Styela clava: one gene and its partner. The protein of the gene in region 1 purifies or fractionates together with the protein of each later gene. This does not show direct contact. Links are inferred from orthologs where the notes say so. Each region holds a gene or a part of one and is shown on either strand. Other genes may lie near its edges. The genes, in order: polypeptide N-acetylgalactosaminyltransferase 16-like and zinc transporter ZIP11-like.

Region 1 (8,036 bases):
AAAAGCGCTCTTACTCCATAGTGACACCTTGTGTCCCATCACTAATTAATTAATAACTCGCTAATTATACGACATAATTCATCCAAAATCAATAGGCTTCTGGTCCGACATATGATGAATGCACATGCAAAATTTGGAGCAGATTCAATCTCGCTTTCGTGAGATATCGCGTGCATCTAACAGACAGACAGACAGACAAATACCTATCAACATACTTACCGATTAAAATCGATAAGTAACAAAGCCGGTTGAGAAATATTGGGAATTGACTTCATAATGAAATTATAAATTGTAATAGGAATTTATGACCACCCCGCACTAAACATATTATCATGTATGATATTTATATTTCGTAGAAGTAGACAAGACCATACATAGATTTAGAAAATACCCATCGAATATGGAAGACAAATAAAAAATTACATTCATGTGAAGTTATAATTATTAAAAGTTTAACAAGAAAAAAAACAAAATAAATTTTAACTTTTTCTTCTAAGAGTATACGCCCTCCGAAAAAATAATAAAAAGATAACACTCACGATCATCACTGAAATCATCAACCAATATAACTTCTTTTATTAGTTCTTCCGGACTTCTTGTTAGTACACTAAAAAACAATGTTATTGTCAATAAAGGAATAATTTCGTAATTGAATGAAAATATTTGCCAAATGGGCCCAAAAAAAGCAAATTGCAAACCTCATATCAACTGTAAAATAGGATTATTTATTTGCGTGTGATATTTACATTTGATAAATGGCACAAAAAGACTTATTTGTGAACAATTAAAAAGATCAAAAAGTAAAATTTATGATATTGTAATATCAAGTTATCAACAATAATTTATAGAATTTTCAGCTAAGTTAGCGTAATCTACCTCACAAAATTTTATGAGACTTTGATAGAAGTTTTGCTCGCTTTTTCAGAGTCTCCATTTTATTTATGCGATGCGTAACAGAGATTCAAAAAATAATTATTACCACTAAATTGATTCAATTTGTATGAAAATATTAATGTTAAATATGACTTCTCAAGAACCAAAATGACAAATTGACTGAATTTTTGGAAGGTTTTTATTTAACTTAACCTCATTAGGCTTTGGGTGGTTAAAGTTAATAAAAGAATGATAATTTCTTTCAAAAATGTAAATACACCATACCTAACCACAGTTCTCAGAAGAGTAGATCTCGCTTCATTGTGAAAAGTGATTATAACCGAAGTTTTCTTTTTCTGAAGTATTTTGAGGTTATATTGGTGGTTGAGACATCTAGAGTAAAATACAGACTTTGTGTCGAAGTGTTTTTATACAATGCAAGTACATTCAATTACAACAGAGTAAATGCATTGTCAAACTTGTTATAAGTTTTTGAATTTTTTTTTCATTCTTTCGACTCCATTTATTAATTGATTTAAAATTAGGAGAATTATAATACTATTGTACCTTATAACTAGTGGTTATTTCAATAAGTATTCAAACTCAAGTTTAAGTTCAGCGGAGGCTTAAATAGGTCACCTTATAGCAAAATGCTTCATCGTTCCAAAATCGAATAAAACATGAAAAAGTCAAGCCTAAATATATTGATAATTTAAAAACATGCAGAAAAACGAATGTGAAACAATAGCTGGTGATGCCAGGAAAAAACGAGATTTATGTGAAAAAATTCATTAAAACAAAAATGGTTGGGGGTCGGGGGATATTCAGAGACAATTTGTTTGCTGCCATAAAATAGAAAAAAATAAAAATGAAGAAATGAAAATTTCTAAACAATGGAATATACGCAAAGTTTAAACTTGGTACTTATCAAAAAATGTTATGTTAATTAACATCCGCAAACAATATTACCTCTTTTCCAATAATAAAGCCTAGGCAATGCAGTTAAAACTACCAATGTATAAAAAAGTAATGCTTACTGTCGATTCCGTGAATCAGGTAAATCTCTATCTGTGCGTATTTCATCACTTCGTTTTTGATTAAATGAATTTCTTATATAAGGATCTTCTGATTTAAATTTTTGCTGGGCAATGTATCTTTCAAAATTGAATTCTGTATTCAACTTTACTTTTTCCTGGAATAACAACAATATTGAACTAATTATGTCAGAAATTGGGAAGTAAGGACATCGGCATCAAAACTATATAAAATTATGAAATTTATTGTATCAATTTAATTACATTGCACATAATTCTTTGCTGACCCTACAGCCCTAATGCTGACATTTGCTTTCATTGGCAAAACCAATCTCAGAATCTTGTTACTACTATCTCACTATACTGCAGCAATTTTATTATTGTTTTTCAGTATTAAGGGGAATATCAGGCTACAGAAAGACAGTGTCATTTTTGCAAATCATAAAATTTTTCCCAATAGTCAGATAGTCTGGATAGTAGTGGTCATAAATATAGAATTTAATTAGCCGCTGATAAACATTGTAGCAAACATTAATGTAAATTATACAATACTGCAATAATCTAGTGCTGTAGTAGTCAGAGTTATTTTATTTATCACTTCAGCAGTCAAAAAGATCCAACATTAAAGTTTCTGAATAATATCTGAATATAGAAACGACAGGAGTCGTGACGGACGGATCGCACCGTCATCAGGTCTACAATACTTTTCACGTATTTTGAGTCATCTGCAATGATAAAATGTGTACAAACCTCACTCTTAGCAAAGAATTTTCCCCTTTTTGTCCAAGAAAAACAACTAATTATTGTCCAACAAAAGAGAGCAACGACTATGCCTATTTTAAAAGTTCGCAAAGAGAAGGGCTTCATGTTTGCAGTTCCCAAATCCGATATTGCATCATCAAGTCATTTCAGAATTTTCCAATATTGCAATTCCACGATGTTAAAAATCTATGTTTACTCTACGTTAAAGTACAATTCTTAAACCAGTCGTTCTATTTCTGTATTTGATGTCGTCGCTATAAATCATCACCAGACAACGCCGACGGCAAAGTTCATAACGTCGCCAATTAATTTTCGCGACACCTGCAACCACATGAAAAAATTGACTTGTGAATGCAGCAAGATCACCGCCGCGTGTGTCTGGCGACATATATTATAGCACAATTCACTGGAAACCGGTATGTTAGTCGTTCAATAAAATAGAATCAGAACACACTGTAGTATATTCCTCCAACATTTCACAGTATTTCGTTCTCTCTCTCTTTATGTATAAATATATATATATATATATATATATAGAGAGAGAAAGGGAGAATGTTTCAATATTTTCGCTATCTCTCCTGTACACGGTAGCTGCCGCTGCGGAGCCATGCAGAGTTCGCGTTGTCGCTAATGACAACAACTGTTTTCTGGTCAGGGTTAGGTGTATATAAGTTATTCATAATTTATGTCATGCAGCTCTGTTCTTTTTTTTTTTTATCTACTCTAGGTGTAATAAGATATTCAGCATCAGATAATAGAAAAATAATTTGGGGTGGATTTTTGTATAGATAGATAGTTTATTTTGAAAACTTTAAAATATGACAATACAAACAAATTAAAAATGACGAAGTTTGACCTTATTATTAGGAGATCCCTTTTCATAAATCAGATGACATAGCGTAACTTAGTTCAGTAGTTGCCAAATGCTACCGTACTGAGGTAGAGCCATTAAAATTATGTCAAATTCAACATCTTCTGATCTTACAGTCAAATAAACATTCACAAGTTCACTGACTATATACTTTTATGTTTCAAATATATAAGTTAACTATAAAAATATCAACTTGAAATATACTTCAAATCGTATATTTAGGAATTAAATTTTTTTTTTCATAATCAACACCTTCATAAATGTATGTGGAGTCTTTTAATTAGCTGACCAAGTCTGAAAATGGTAACAATTACAACGAACAATGCAATTCAACAAAAGTACAAAAAGTATAGTAACACTTGAGATTATTTTAAACAGACCTATATGACATATTTTTTTTCAAAATACTTTTTTACAGTTTCATGTTTGCATAAAGAATTATTTTATGTTGCCATTGATCATTCCACAACAAAAATTCTTTTTGTAATAATATCAATAAATTTTTATTAAACCTCTATTTAGAGGTCAGTTGTAGAGTCCAGTTTTATTGTTTACTCCAGAATAATGGAATTTTATTATATTTAAATAATATACATATATTCATTCACGGTAGACTATCGTATTTGAATGTAAACTTGTGGAACATCTCGACTGTACTGGCACTCTGGCAGAACCCTAAAGCGTCGCTGAACTATGTTTGAATACTGCTGTTCTAATGTCTGAATTTATCTGAACTATTGAGTTAAACAAGCTTCACAAAACTTTCTGCTATTCATCCAATCTGCCAATGTTCATTTCTGTTTTAGTTTTTTTAAACGTGTTGTTTGTGACTTATTATAATCATTTGTTCAGATTTTATTCACAGCTTAAATTCCCCTGTGTTTTTGTATTCATCAAGAAATCTTTGATTTTATTCTGACTTAATGAAATGGAATACACTGGTAGTCAATATGATGGGGACTGGCATAATGGAAGGCTAGAGGGACATGGAAAATATCAATTTCCCACCGAAACTCAATATGTTGGAGATCTGAAGGATGGTACTTTTCATGGCAAAGGAACTTTATTTTTTCCTAATAAGAGTAAATATGAAGGTGAATGGAAAAATGGTCGAGTCGTATCTGGAAAATACACTTTTGCTGATGGATTAGAATATAATAGCGAGGAAGATTGGGAATATTGTGATGGATATGATAGGAGATTTTATACGGAAATATGCCACGGATTGAAGCCCGCTGGTCGTTCACAACTTACGAACAGAATTCCCCCAAGAAGAATTCCAGAAAACCATTATGATTGTGGAGATGGTTTTTACAATCCTTCAACAAGAATTGTTACTGACTATAATCAAAAATTTCTACGAAATGCCGATGATGACGAGCATGAATGGATTGTAAAGGAATGTCGTAAAGGATGGGATGAAATTGTTGGGTATAAAGGGAAAACTGAAGCTTAAACATCAAAAAGTTACTGCACAATTCTTCAGCTATAAGTTGAAGTTATAGTCGTAATACCTGTTGCGTGTGTATTTGTTTTCCAAAGAAATTGGCATGCAAAAATGTTATCTTACTTATTAATACTGAGTAGTTTTTTAATTGTATTGTATTTATGAGGTAGCAGATTGTATGTATTAATTTTGATTTGCAATGGGAATGACTTGCTATTGCATATCTATTTCGAACTCATATCATTTTAGTTTCTTTATCAAAAGTTATCATAAAGCAGATTATACAAAAAATGATTTTAAATGGTAGTTCTACAGCAAAACTATTAAATTCTCTGTTTTCTTTTCATTGGTAAAAAGCATTCGATTAGTAAAAATTTTCCTGATTGGAAATATACAGCTTTAATGGCCTTGTATACTCCTATTTATCAAATTATCATCTATCTAAAATTTCTTTTTTAAATTTTCTTCAAATTGTGGTTTTCACTGTATCATAGTGCTACTGATATGATTTATCAAAAACTTCTGAAACACCATACCAAATTTTTTTTCCATTTCATATGCAAACCTCCATGAGAATTGTGTGAAAAAGGATTACTAGTTACTACATTTTAATTTCAGATACGAGAAAACAAATTAAAATGAATAATTCCGATTTATCTGAGAAGAGGTAATTTTTTTTACTCAATTTTTTTGTCATTCCTTGGTCATTTCACCTAGAGCGTAATAAATTTGGTAGACAATGCTGTACTATATAAATTCTGGTCCTTCTAAGCTATATTTACTATTTACTTACCTAGTAGTGGCTGCTTGTGCAGAGCCTTGTTTGAAGCAAACGACCAACCAAATTTCTATTTTTATATATCAGAGCCTTTTCATGAATAAGCATACGATTATATACTTTTATGAATTTTTTTATTTTGAACTGTTTTTATATTTTCAGGTAATATAAGTACTCAAATGTATTCTCGAAATGACTCAAAATAATGAACAAAATAGAGAATTCCATAAAATAATTATAAGTGATACAAAAATTGGACTTGGTATTAAAATAACTGGTGGACTTCAAAAGGATAATGGGGAAGATATTGGTATCTTTGTCAGAAAAGTTCTCCACGGTGGAGCAGTTTCACAACATGGTAATATCAGAGTTGGTGACGAAATAATCCAAATCAATGACAGTAATGTGACAGGATTGAGCAATTACAGGTAAACAAAGGTTTCTTCTCCAAGATCTCAAACAGGTTTCCTGCTTAGGGCCTACAAAATTAACATTAATGATGACATTTGACTTCTTCACTTGGCTTATTGGACACGGAGTGGACTGTGAGATTGAAGATCGGTATTTCTTCTGTATCGAACCTATGGATGTTTTGCTAAATTGTTGTTATTTTTTATTGTTTGGATGCTTGTTGGATTTATGAAAAATCACTTCTGTGTGCAACTACCAGTAATTAACCTGTCGATATCAAACTTCAATACCCAAAATATTGAAAATTTAGCTATTTTTTTTGTTTTTTCCAACCAATTTTTCTTTTCAAATTTTGCTGTTTTTTCGTGATTCCCATCTTTATATGACGTTTGTTTGATTATTTATTAAACATTTTGGTAAAATTTTGTTCAAATTGTGATAGTCATTTGACTTTTGCGTTCATTTAATTGAGCATTGCTCTCTTTATCATCCTTGACTCTGTTATGAAATTTTTGCATTTTGAGTAGACATGCTACAAGCTATTAATATTACAACACATAAAAAAATTCGGTGCTCCCGAAGTATGCGAACCAAGATGGCGGACATCGGAACGTAACATGGGTAACAGGTTAGAGTTAGGCGATAATTTTTTTCCAATTTTCCTTATTTTGGTCCTATTATCAGTTCGAAGACTAGCCAAGAGCCTCCCGTAGTATTTATACCTAAAATTATGTCCTAACCCTAACCTAGTACACATATTACATTCCGATGTCCGCCATCTTGGTTCGCATACTTCGGGAGCCCCAAAAATTCTTAAATTGTAATTGCATTCCAGAGTTGTTGATCTGTTGAGACAAGCGGCTGCAACCAGTAGGGTTGAAATTGTGTATGCCTCGGATAAACTTGCAAGGTAATTGTCTTTTTAAAATCACAAAAAAATGAATTATTGATATTTTCTTGTTTGACAAAATTTTGAGTGGCATTTTTTGTCGAAATTTTTTTCTGTAGAATGATTATTATTCTATGAATTAACTAATAAACAAATGAAACATTTTGTTTGTAATTTTCGTCTTTATTTTCAACTTAATTTTCATTTCAGATCTAGATTTTCAGAACTTATCTCATTAAAAAGGAGAAAATACATAGAGGGCAAGTTAGGTAGGTTTAGCAAATATATATTATCAAATAGAAAGTCTTTCAACTTGACAATTTGCTCTCCACGTCCAACAGCTCTGTGGCCCCCTTGTTATGTTCTTGATTTCTTGTTGGTATTTTTTTATGTTGTTTTATGTTATAATGGCTTTACCCTTTAAATACTTGACCAATGGCTTTAAAATATTCATGAATTAAAGATTGTTGTTCTCGCTAGAAGTCCATCACTTTTATTTATTTTCAAAAATTTCTGTGGACTTTATTTGGTTTGTGCTTTTGTCTGCAATGAAATCATCAAAATTAAAAATGGCACCCAGTGGCAGTTCTACATTCGTTTCTATCAGGTAGTCAGGCAAATTCGGGAAGACTTTGGTACCGGTAGTCTACTTAGAAGGATTAGATCAGTGCTCGTTTTCGTTTTTTTATGGAACCCAAAATAACAAAAATAAAAATGAAACAGGATATACTAGTAACACGAAATATTTGTAATTCAAATATTTCTACTTCAACAACGAAACAGAAAGAAGGTAACAAGCAAGAAATTCAAGGACTAGGTTGTTCTTGCATTTCCTTTGCAATCTTCTGAATCGTGGCCCCACGGCGCTCAAAGCAATTCTCATACTCATGTCTACACACTTTAAACAACTTCTTTTTTGTTTTTAGTAGTTGTTAAAGCAAAAAATGCTGATTCACACAAATAGGTATTGG
Region 2 (7,932 bases), on another chromosome or scaffold:
AAAGTAGATGCAAAAATAGATGAAATGCTGAAAGCAGACATAATCGAAAAAGCGCCTGAAGGTCCAAGTACCCGGATTTCGCCTTTAACTGTAGATCATAAAAAGGATGGAGATATTAGAATTTGTGTTGACATGCGCCGAGCTAACCAAGCCATACTCCGTGAAAGGCAACCTATACCGACTGTTGAAGACTTACTCCACGACTTGAGCGGACGTGCCGTATTTTCGAAGTTAGATCTGAAATGGGGGTTTCATCAAATATTGCTTGATGAGAAATGCCGATATATCACAACGTTCGTAACTAATAATGGAATTTTTAGATACAAAAGACTAATGTTTGGTTTATCATCTGCACCAGAAAAGTATCAGCAAATAATCAGAGACGTTGTGAGGAACTGTCGGGGTGTCGCAAACATAGCGGACGATATCATTATCCATGGGCGGAATGTGAAGGAACATGATGAAAGATTATTTGATGTTCTTGATAAGTTGGACAAAGCCGGTCTAACGCTGAATGGTATGAAATGTCAATTTCGACTTCCTGTGATCAAGTTATTTGGTCATAAGCTCACAAGTCAAGGTATTGATCCTTGTGAGGAAAAGGTGGCGGCAGTAAGAAATGCACGACGACCAAAAGATACCAGAGAAGTGAAATCTTTTATGGGTCTTGTTCAATATTGTGCAAAGTTTATACCAAACCTTTCTTCGATTGCAGCGCCTTTACGTGCATTGACTCAGAAAAATTCTAAATTTGATTGGGATAAGCAATGTTAAAATTCATTCGAAAGATTGAAACGTTCATTAACTAATGCAAACACATTAGCTTATTTCAGATCTGACTGCAGGACAAGAATAATTGCAGATGCTTCACCGACAGGACTAGGATCCGCTTTAACCCAATTGCAAGACGGAATTTGGAGAGTAATTTCGTATGCTTCGAGGACAATGTCAGACGTAGAAAGACGATATAGCCAGACGGAAAAAGAAGCATTAGCTCTAGTGTGGGCATGTGAGAGATTTAACTTGTATATTTTTGGCAGGAAATTTGAACTTGAAACCGATCACAAACCTTTGGAATGCATATACTCTAAAACTTCAAAGCCCTCAGCAAGGATTGAACGATGGGTATTGCGATTGCAAGCGTATGACTTCAAGGTAATATACCGACCGGGTAAGAATAATATTGCTGATGTATTATCTCGTCTTAATGCGCCTGACCAGCGTGATACAACAGCGGAATATGATTTCTTCAAACGAATGGTTGTACAAAGTAGTTGCCCGATTGCTTTGACGCCACATGAAATTGAGCAGGCATCTGCTAAAGACCCTGAATTGCAAATTGTGAGAGATTGCATTAAATCACAGAATTGGTCAAAGTGTGGTAATTCATTTTTGCATGTGAAGAATGAACTTTGTATTTATGGTCAATTAATTTTACGTGGTACGAGAATTGTAATTCCACAGATACTCAGAAAACGTGTTCTAGAGCTTGCACATGAAGGACACCAAGGAATTGTGAAGACGAAAAATCGACTTCGAAGTAAAGTGTGGTGGCCAAACATTGATCGTGATGCTGAACGAAAATGTAAAGTATGTCATGGATGTCAGGTAACAAGTTCGTATAGTCCGCCCGAACCAATGACGCGAACACGACCACCCAGTGGACCTTGGATAGATTGTTGTGCCGATGTTTTAGGACCTTTGCCTTCTGGTGATAACATACTGGTAATTGTAGATTACTACAGTCGTTTTTATGAAATTGTAATTGTGCGGTCGACAACAAGTAAGAAAATAATTGAAGCGTTGAGCACCATATTTTCACGTTACGGAATTCCACTTACGTTAAGAACTGACAATGCACCACAGCTTGTATCTAATGAATTCAAATCATTTTTAGACGAACATGGAGTTCAACATAAATCTACTACTCCATTGTGGCCACAAGCGAACGGCGAGGTGGAGAGACAAAACCGAAGTTTAATGAAAGCCATACGAATAGCCCAAGTAGAAGGTAAAGATTGGAAATCGGAATTAAACAAATTTCTGCTTGCATACAGGTCTACACCGCATACAACGACAGGAGTATCGCCATATTATTTGATGTTTGGTCGAAAGATGAGAACAAAGCTTCCAGAAATCAGACCAAAATACAACATAATCGGCGAAGAACACAGAGACAGAGACTGGAGAAACAAGCTACAAGGGAAATTTTACTCAGATTACAACAGAAGATCAATTTTACAAGATGTTGAGGTCGGAGATTCGGTGCTCGTTAAGCAAGAGAAAGTTGACAAGATGTCGACAAACTTCAATAAATATCCGTGTGAAATTGTCAAGAAGGAAGGAGGGGAAGTCACAGTCAGAGATGAAAAGGGAAAAGAATTTCGTCGCAATTCAACATTTGTAAAGAAATACGAAGAAGACACCCAAAATAAAATTGACAATAATGCCAAAGAGTCGCGAATTGCTCCAGACGCGACCAGGCCAAGTTTGGAGGAACCAATTACTCAGCCTTATGAGCGTCCAAGGCGAACGAAAACTGCCTTCCAGATTTAAAGACTTTGTAATGAAATAAGTCTACCATCTACTCGTAACAAAAGGAGGGATGTAGTGTTCATGGTCCGATGGTCATGAATTGCATGATTGATTTAGTCCTGCGATATAAATGCGCAAGGATACATGCCAAGGGGAGCAGAAGGACATTGACGGCGTGGCTGGTGCTGGTTCTATTGTATGGTGTTATTCGCTGTTTATTAAGTTGTATCAGTTACTTTTGTGCATACTGAATTGTAGCAGTAAAAGCCTCTTATTGTGTGTGCAAATATCGTGTGTTGCCTTGGGGAAAGCTTAGCAAGATAGATAACATTGAAGATAGAGGCGGGACACTACAATGGGAAATAATCAGATTGGCATTGCAACCCTTCACAAATAATTTAGAAATAGACAAATATGACTGAGTTGAAGGAGATATGTGATATTAAATAAATTTTGACAAGGCTGGGTCAAATTAAATCACGATAGCCCAAAATATATTTCGTCTTGTAGTAATTTATTGCTTACACGAGGTTTAAACTATTAGAGATTCTGAACAATCAGCAAATTTGTCTATATCACTATTGCACATTAATTAATTTGCAGTACATTAAGTACGTACATTAATTGATTTGCAGTACGTTTGCGCGGAAGTCAAACAAAATTTGTATTTTTAAAAACTATACCCACCAGTTTACATGCTCTAACTCTCTGAAACACTTCGAAATTTTTGTGAAAATATTTAAAGGAAGAATTCTTGAAGGGTCAAGGGTCGGGGAAACGTTCATCGCCAAGCATGCATGAGTTGTTATGACGTCATGTCTCAACAAAAATCTACGTATTCGGAATTCGGATTCGCTGTGGGTAGCCGAAGTTCTCAAGTCGGCGAGCTGTCAAATGAGTTATTTTTTTTTTCATTGTATTTCTATTGCAACGTGTACGGTATTAGTTGTGGTTTGCATTTCCGCTGCTGTAGGTACGTGTCGGTTTCGTCGAGTTACACAACACGTTTTCCGGCGATTGGTTGGCAGAACTTCACATTATAACTGCCTGGTATACGGTACAGTCAGAGAAGTACCGGTACCGGTACGGTATACAAGCTTGTGTTGTTGTGTACCGGTACGACATGTTACCGCTGCATTACGGTACTGGTATTACAGTATTAGGATACGGTATTCAGCCTATGTCATAAAGCCAAGTGTTCTATATTATTTCCCAAAAGTTTTTGCAATTAGGCTCAATGCTGCAATGCAGGGATAAGATAGATAGATAGTTTATTTCGAAAACTCCATAACAAACCTAAATTTAAAATGGAGAATTCTGGAGGGCAAGCAAAACCTACAAGAAAGTTTAAAACATGAGGTATCTCATGTGCCTGCCCACCAGCACGCACACAAAAACACAAGCCCAATTAAATGAGGCTTGGGCCAAACTTAAAAAACAAAATACACGATAGTAATAAACTTTCGGGCTGTTGTACTCTCTTTCAACAATTACGTTGATAATGACCAATACCTACAACCTCATGCAAAGATAATGTGGGGAGTGGAATGTAATAAATTTGCGACGATAGTCATACTCATGAAGCCAGGAAAGCTTTAAGAAAAACCAAGCCATGAAAAACTACACTGATTGCTAGATTGGGCATTGCGGAAAAGGTGATAAGTGGTTTAATATACAAACAAACGCAAAACCATGGCGGCAAATTCGGTGTGCGGACACTCGTAAAAGCAATTATTAGGAAAAACACTAATCACACGTGAGCAGGTATGTAGCCTAATTGATACATTGACGTGGCCAACATTGTTAAAACAGTACCGGTATACACACAGAGAGAACAAATCAAAAATATGCCACTAAATGAATGTTTAAAAATGTTACACTGTAAGTTACACTGCAAACTATTTACACATATATAGTTGAATACTCAGTATTTCATCTTTCGATTCTGTTATGATGTCCGTATGTTGCCTTTATGCTGCCATGTAATTTCATATTTCGGCCTTTACTTGTTGATATTCCTTAAGTGCTGGTTCATTGTTGTCAATCTAATCTTTCTGCGCCGTTCAAAAATGCGACCGCAGCCGACGACTGCCAAACACAAACTTTAAATCCAATCTTTTATCCATAAACTTCTTTAATTCCGGTGGATGGGCCTTGATCATGTTGATATCACGAGATACAAATCTAATAGTCTAATAGTAATAAATATGTAAATCCTATCCTACATCCAGACATCACAGCGCTAACTTACATCTGGACACTTTTTACCAGTGAGCTTATATTTAGCATAGTCAAACAATGATTTCATCTTATGGACCTGTCCAGCAAGCTCTACTCGGAACTTTGTTTACATGGGGATTGACTGCAGCTGGTGCTAGTCTTGTATTTGTATTCAAATCTGGAAAAGTAAGTTTAAAGATTTTTTTTTCAATATTCTGAATCATAAGCTGTAGAGTACGGTAGACTACCGGTACTATTTGTTTTCTGTTTACTCCATTCAGGTCCAGAAATTCAACTGGAAAACTAATCTAAGGCACAAGTCCTGATGCGATATGATGTTTGCTGCCCATAATAATACTTGTAGTTCAGTAGTTGGTACCATTATCTTCATAAATTATAATGACAAAAGTTTTCATCTATGTCTATGGGAAGCAATTCAGAATTGATTGCCTGAAAAGATCTTTTTAATTTTTATACTAACTGAATCTATTCTATTTTTAGCGGAAAGTTTTAGATGGAAGCCTTGGATTTGCTGCTGGGGTAAGGTTTTAAATTATTGTTGTTTGCAGAAGAAAACTTATTTTTACAATATATTCAAAATTAATTTTAGTCTAATTCTACCTCTTACACAATGACTGAATGAGGTTGGGTGCAACTCCCAAAACTCGGGTGTTACAACTCAATTTCACCCCCATAAATAGCTTTCATCTTTTTATTATCTGATTTTTGTAATGCTCACAGATATTTTGACTTTTATTCTTTATCAGGTAATGATTGCGGCATCATACTGGTCATTACTTGCTCCTGCAATTGAAATGGCAGTATTATCTGGTAATTATGGAAAAGAAGGCGAATATGCTTTTATCCCTGTGGCGGTTGGATTTGCTGCTGGTGCACTATTTGTCTATGCTGCGGATATTTTAATGCCTTTCTTGGTAAGTATTAACATGTTTTAGATTATTAAGCTTACTGAAAGTGTAGCTGAACAATTTCTTTAAAATTAGGGAATGCTGAGTGAAGATATCAATAAAAAATTTAAAAGGTTCTGCGATTGATGCATCATGTTGAATGTGAGGAATAATTATGTGCTAAAGCAGTGGTTTCCAAAGTGGGGTCCGCGAAGCACTTTCGGAGGGCCTGCGACAGAAACATGTTATATAGCTTGATAACACAAAAATTCAGTGCTTAAATTTGCAAATACACATTTGACGCCCTTTGCTGCTTCGCAATCACTGCTGGAGACACTGATTCATCACTTACTGTTTCGATTGTGCTGCCCCATTGTGTTGTCACAGAGCTGTGTGACTGTAATATCACGAAGAGAGTTCAATTGCTGCCTATACAAGTTAACTAACTGCAGAGGTGTAGCTGACACTGCCTTTTTGTATGTTTGTTGGTATAGGAGGCAGTTTATGAAGTTATGCTTGTTTACAACGAAACAAGTGCACCATCATATACTTTTGTTCGTTTTAATGTTTTTCACCATACCGCGCATTGATTTTTTAATGTATTGTTTTAGTGCACAAGGCCGGGAATCAGTGTTAACTCTAAGCAAATTATGAGTGCGAAAGTGCTTCGCAGTCGAAAAAAAAAGTGCGAAAGTGCTTTTGCCGATTTTAACAAGTTAGGTGCCCTTAGCCTTTCATATAACCCATTTAAAACGGCATAGATACTCGAAAAAGCACTCCTCCGGTTAATATTATGAATTAAAGAGAAGCCTTTCCGTTAACTGAGTTCCCTTTAAGCGAATTCATGTTTAATTAAAACAAGCAAATTCATCGGCAACGAAAGGACATCTGCTAACACCTGCCGCGGAAAAAACTTTCATGCAATGTATCACGGTGTCAGTTGCTTACTCGCGTGAACAGCAAAGGCCTTCACATTTGTTACTCCTTCCATCTAACAGACACGAGGCAGGCTGGAAACCATATTAGTTACAGGGTAGATCCTTTGTACAAATCCCGTGCACAATAATCCCCCCCCAAATATAAATATCAATCAATATCAAGGGTTAGGTGCGCTGGAAATTCAACTTTTCGATTTATCCCTAAACCCAATCTGATAATTATTAATTTGTGATTTTGAACCACTTTGAAAGTCGCCACCCGCTGTTTTGAAAGATAGGTTAACCTATGTTCCCTCCGAAATATTACGCAGGATACTTCCCTGTTTTAGGAGATAGGTTGACCTACTTTCCTTTCAAACTTTTTTCTCCGAAATATTACACAAGATCACTTTGAAAATCCTCCCGTTTCGTGAGCTAGCGTGACCTAATTTCTCATTTACATTTATATTATACTATTTCAGAGCTTACCCAAAGACAAGTAATTTTTAAATGTCGACATGCCTTGGTTTGGGTGCGAGTTAGTTTAAATCGGGCAGAAAACATCATATATTGGCAAAATGTTTAGTAATGCCATGTACTTTCAGCATTCATAAATAACACTCTTTGTAATGCTGCTGACCTAGTATCAAATATTCGCATCACAACGCCACTTGCGAGATTTCCATATATTTCAATTAGTAATTACACTAATAGGAACGATGACACCAAAGAGTTTTCTTTTGCGGAGGTACACTAAATATAACGAGGGTGATTCTTGAAAAAAACGTGAATATAAAAAATAAGAATGATATGATAGTGGATCCCAAATAATTTTGAGAGTGTCTCTAAATACCAATCCATTTGATAAATAATTTTTATTCGACCACATGAACGCTGATATCCTGAAAATTAATGTTGAAAGAGAAGTACGCATTCTCAGATATCGGACATCCAGTCGCGATATTCAATCGTTCATATGCACCAATCTCACATTAATAGTAATTGCTACCCAAGTTTGTAAAGTTTAGAAACCAACAAACAGAAAATAACTTATCCTAAAACACAATTGAAATTCAGTCGGCAATAAATTCGTCGCCAAGACGATGCCATACAAAAAAGATTTGGTCGCGAGAGTTACGTTAGCTGACTGCAAAACGACGTTGTTTTTTGAGCAGAATGTAAAAAAAATTATAATTAATAAACGGGAGTTACGACGCCCTTAACACATTGTGTGTATTAAACCTGTTGGAGTATTTGGACAATTTCGAATTTAAAATAAATGAAAACCCGACTTATAATAAAGACGCAAAAGTAATATGAACATTTATTGAAAAAGTTATTATTTAAGAAAG

The links.
Region 2: the proteins of polypeptide N-acetylgalactosaminyltransferase 16-like (region 1) and zinc transporter ZIP11-like purify together in Homo sapiens (co-immunoprecipitation; 3 studies listed by BioGRID and IntAct, counting the BioPlex papers as one, with this or other methods). This does not show direct contact. The link is inferred for Styela clava from reciprocal best matches to the Homo sapiens genes GALNT16 and SLC39A11.

Annotation. Positions count from the first base shown.
Region 1 is NC_135261.1:13,697,890-13,705,925, reverse strand, and holds the start of polypeptide N-acetylgalactosaminyltransferase 16-like, read right to left. Parts: upstream 3,039-8,036; 5' UTR 2,775-3,038; coding exon 2,658-2,774; intron 2,066-2,657; coding exon 1,911-2,065; intron 1,267-1,910; coding exon 1,159-1,266; intron 608-1,158; coding exon 540-607; intron 1-539. Other genes in the region: MORN repeat-containing protein 5-like, read left to right, coding at 4,469-4,996; syntaxin-binding protein 4-like, read left to right, coding at 5,958-6,193, 7,012-7,086, 7,276-7,334. UniProt on the Homo sapiens protein: Catalyzes the initial reaction in O-linked oligosaccharide biosynthesis, the transfer of an N-acetyl-D-galactosamine residue to a serine or threonine residue on the protein receptor.
Region 2 is NC_135255.1:10,457,371-10,465,302, forward strand, and holds the start of zinc transporter ZIP11-like, read left to right. Parts: upstream 1-4,743; 5' UTR 4,744-4,833; coding exon 4,834-4,941; intron 4,942-5,256; coding exon 5,257-5,295; intron 5,296-5,522; coding exon 5,523-5,690; intron 5,691-7,932. UniProt on the Homo sapiens protein: Zinc importer that regulates cytosolic zinc concentrations either via zinc influx from the extracellular compartment or efflux from intracellular organelles such as Golgi apparatus. May transport copper ions as well.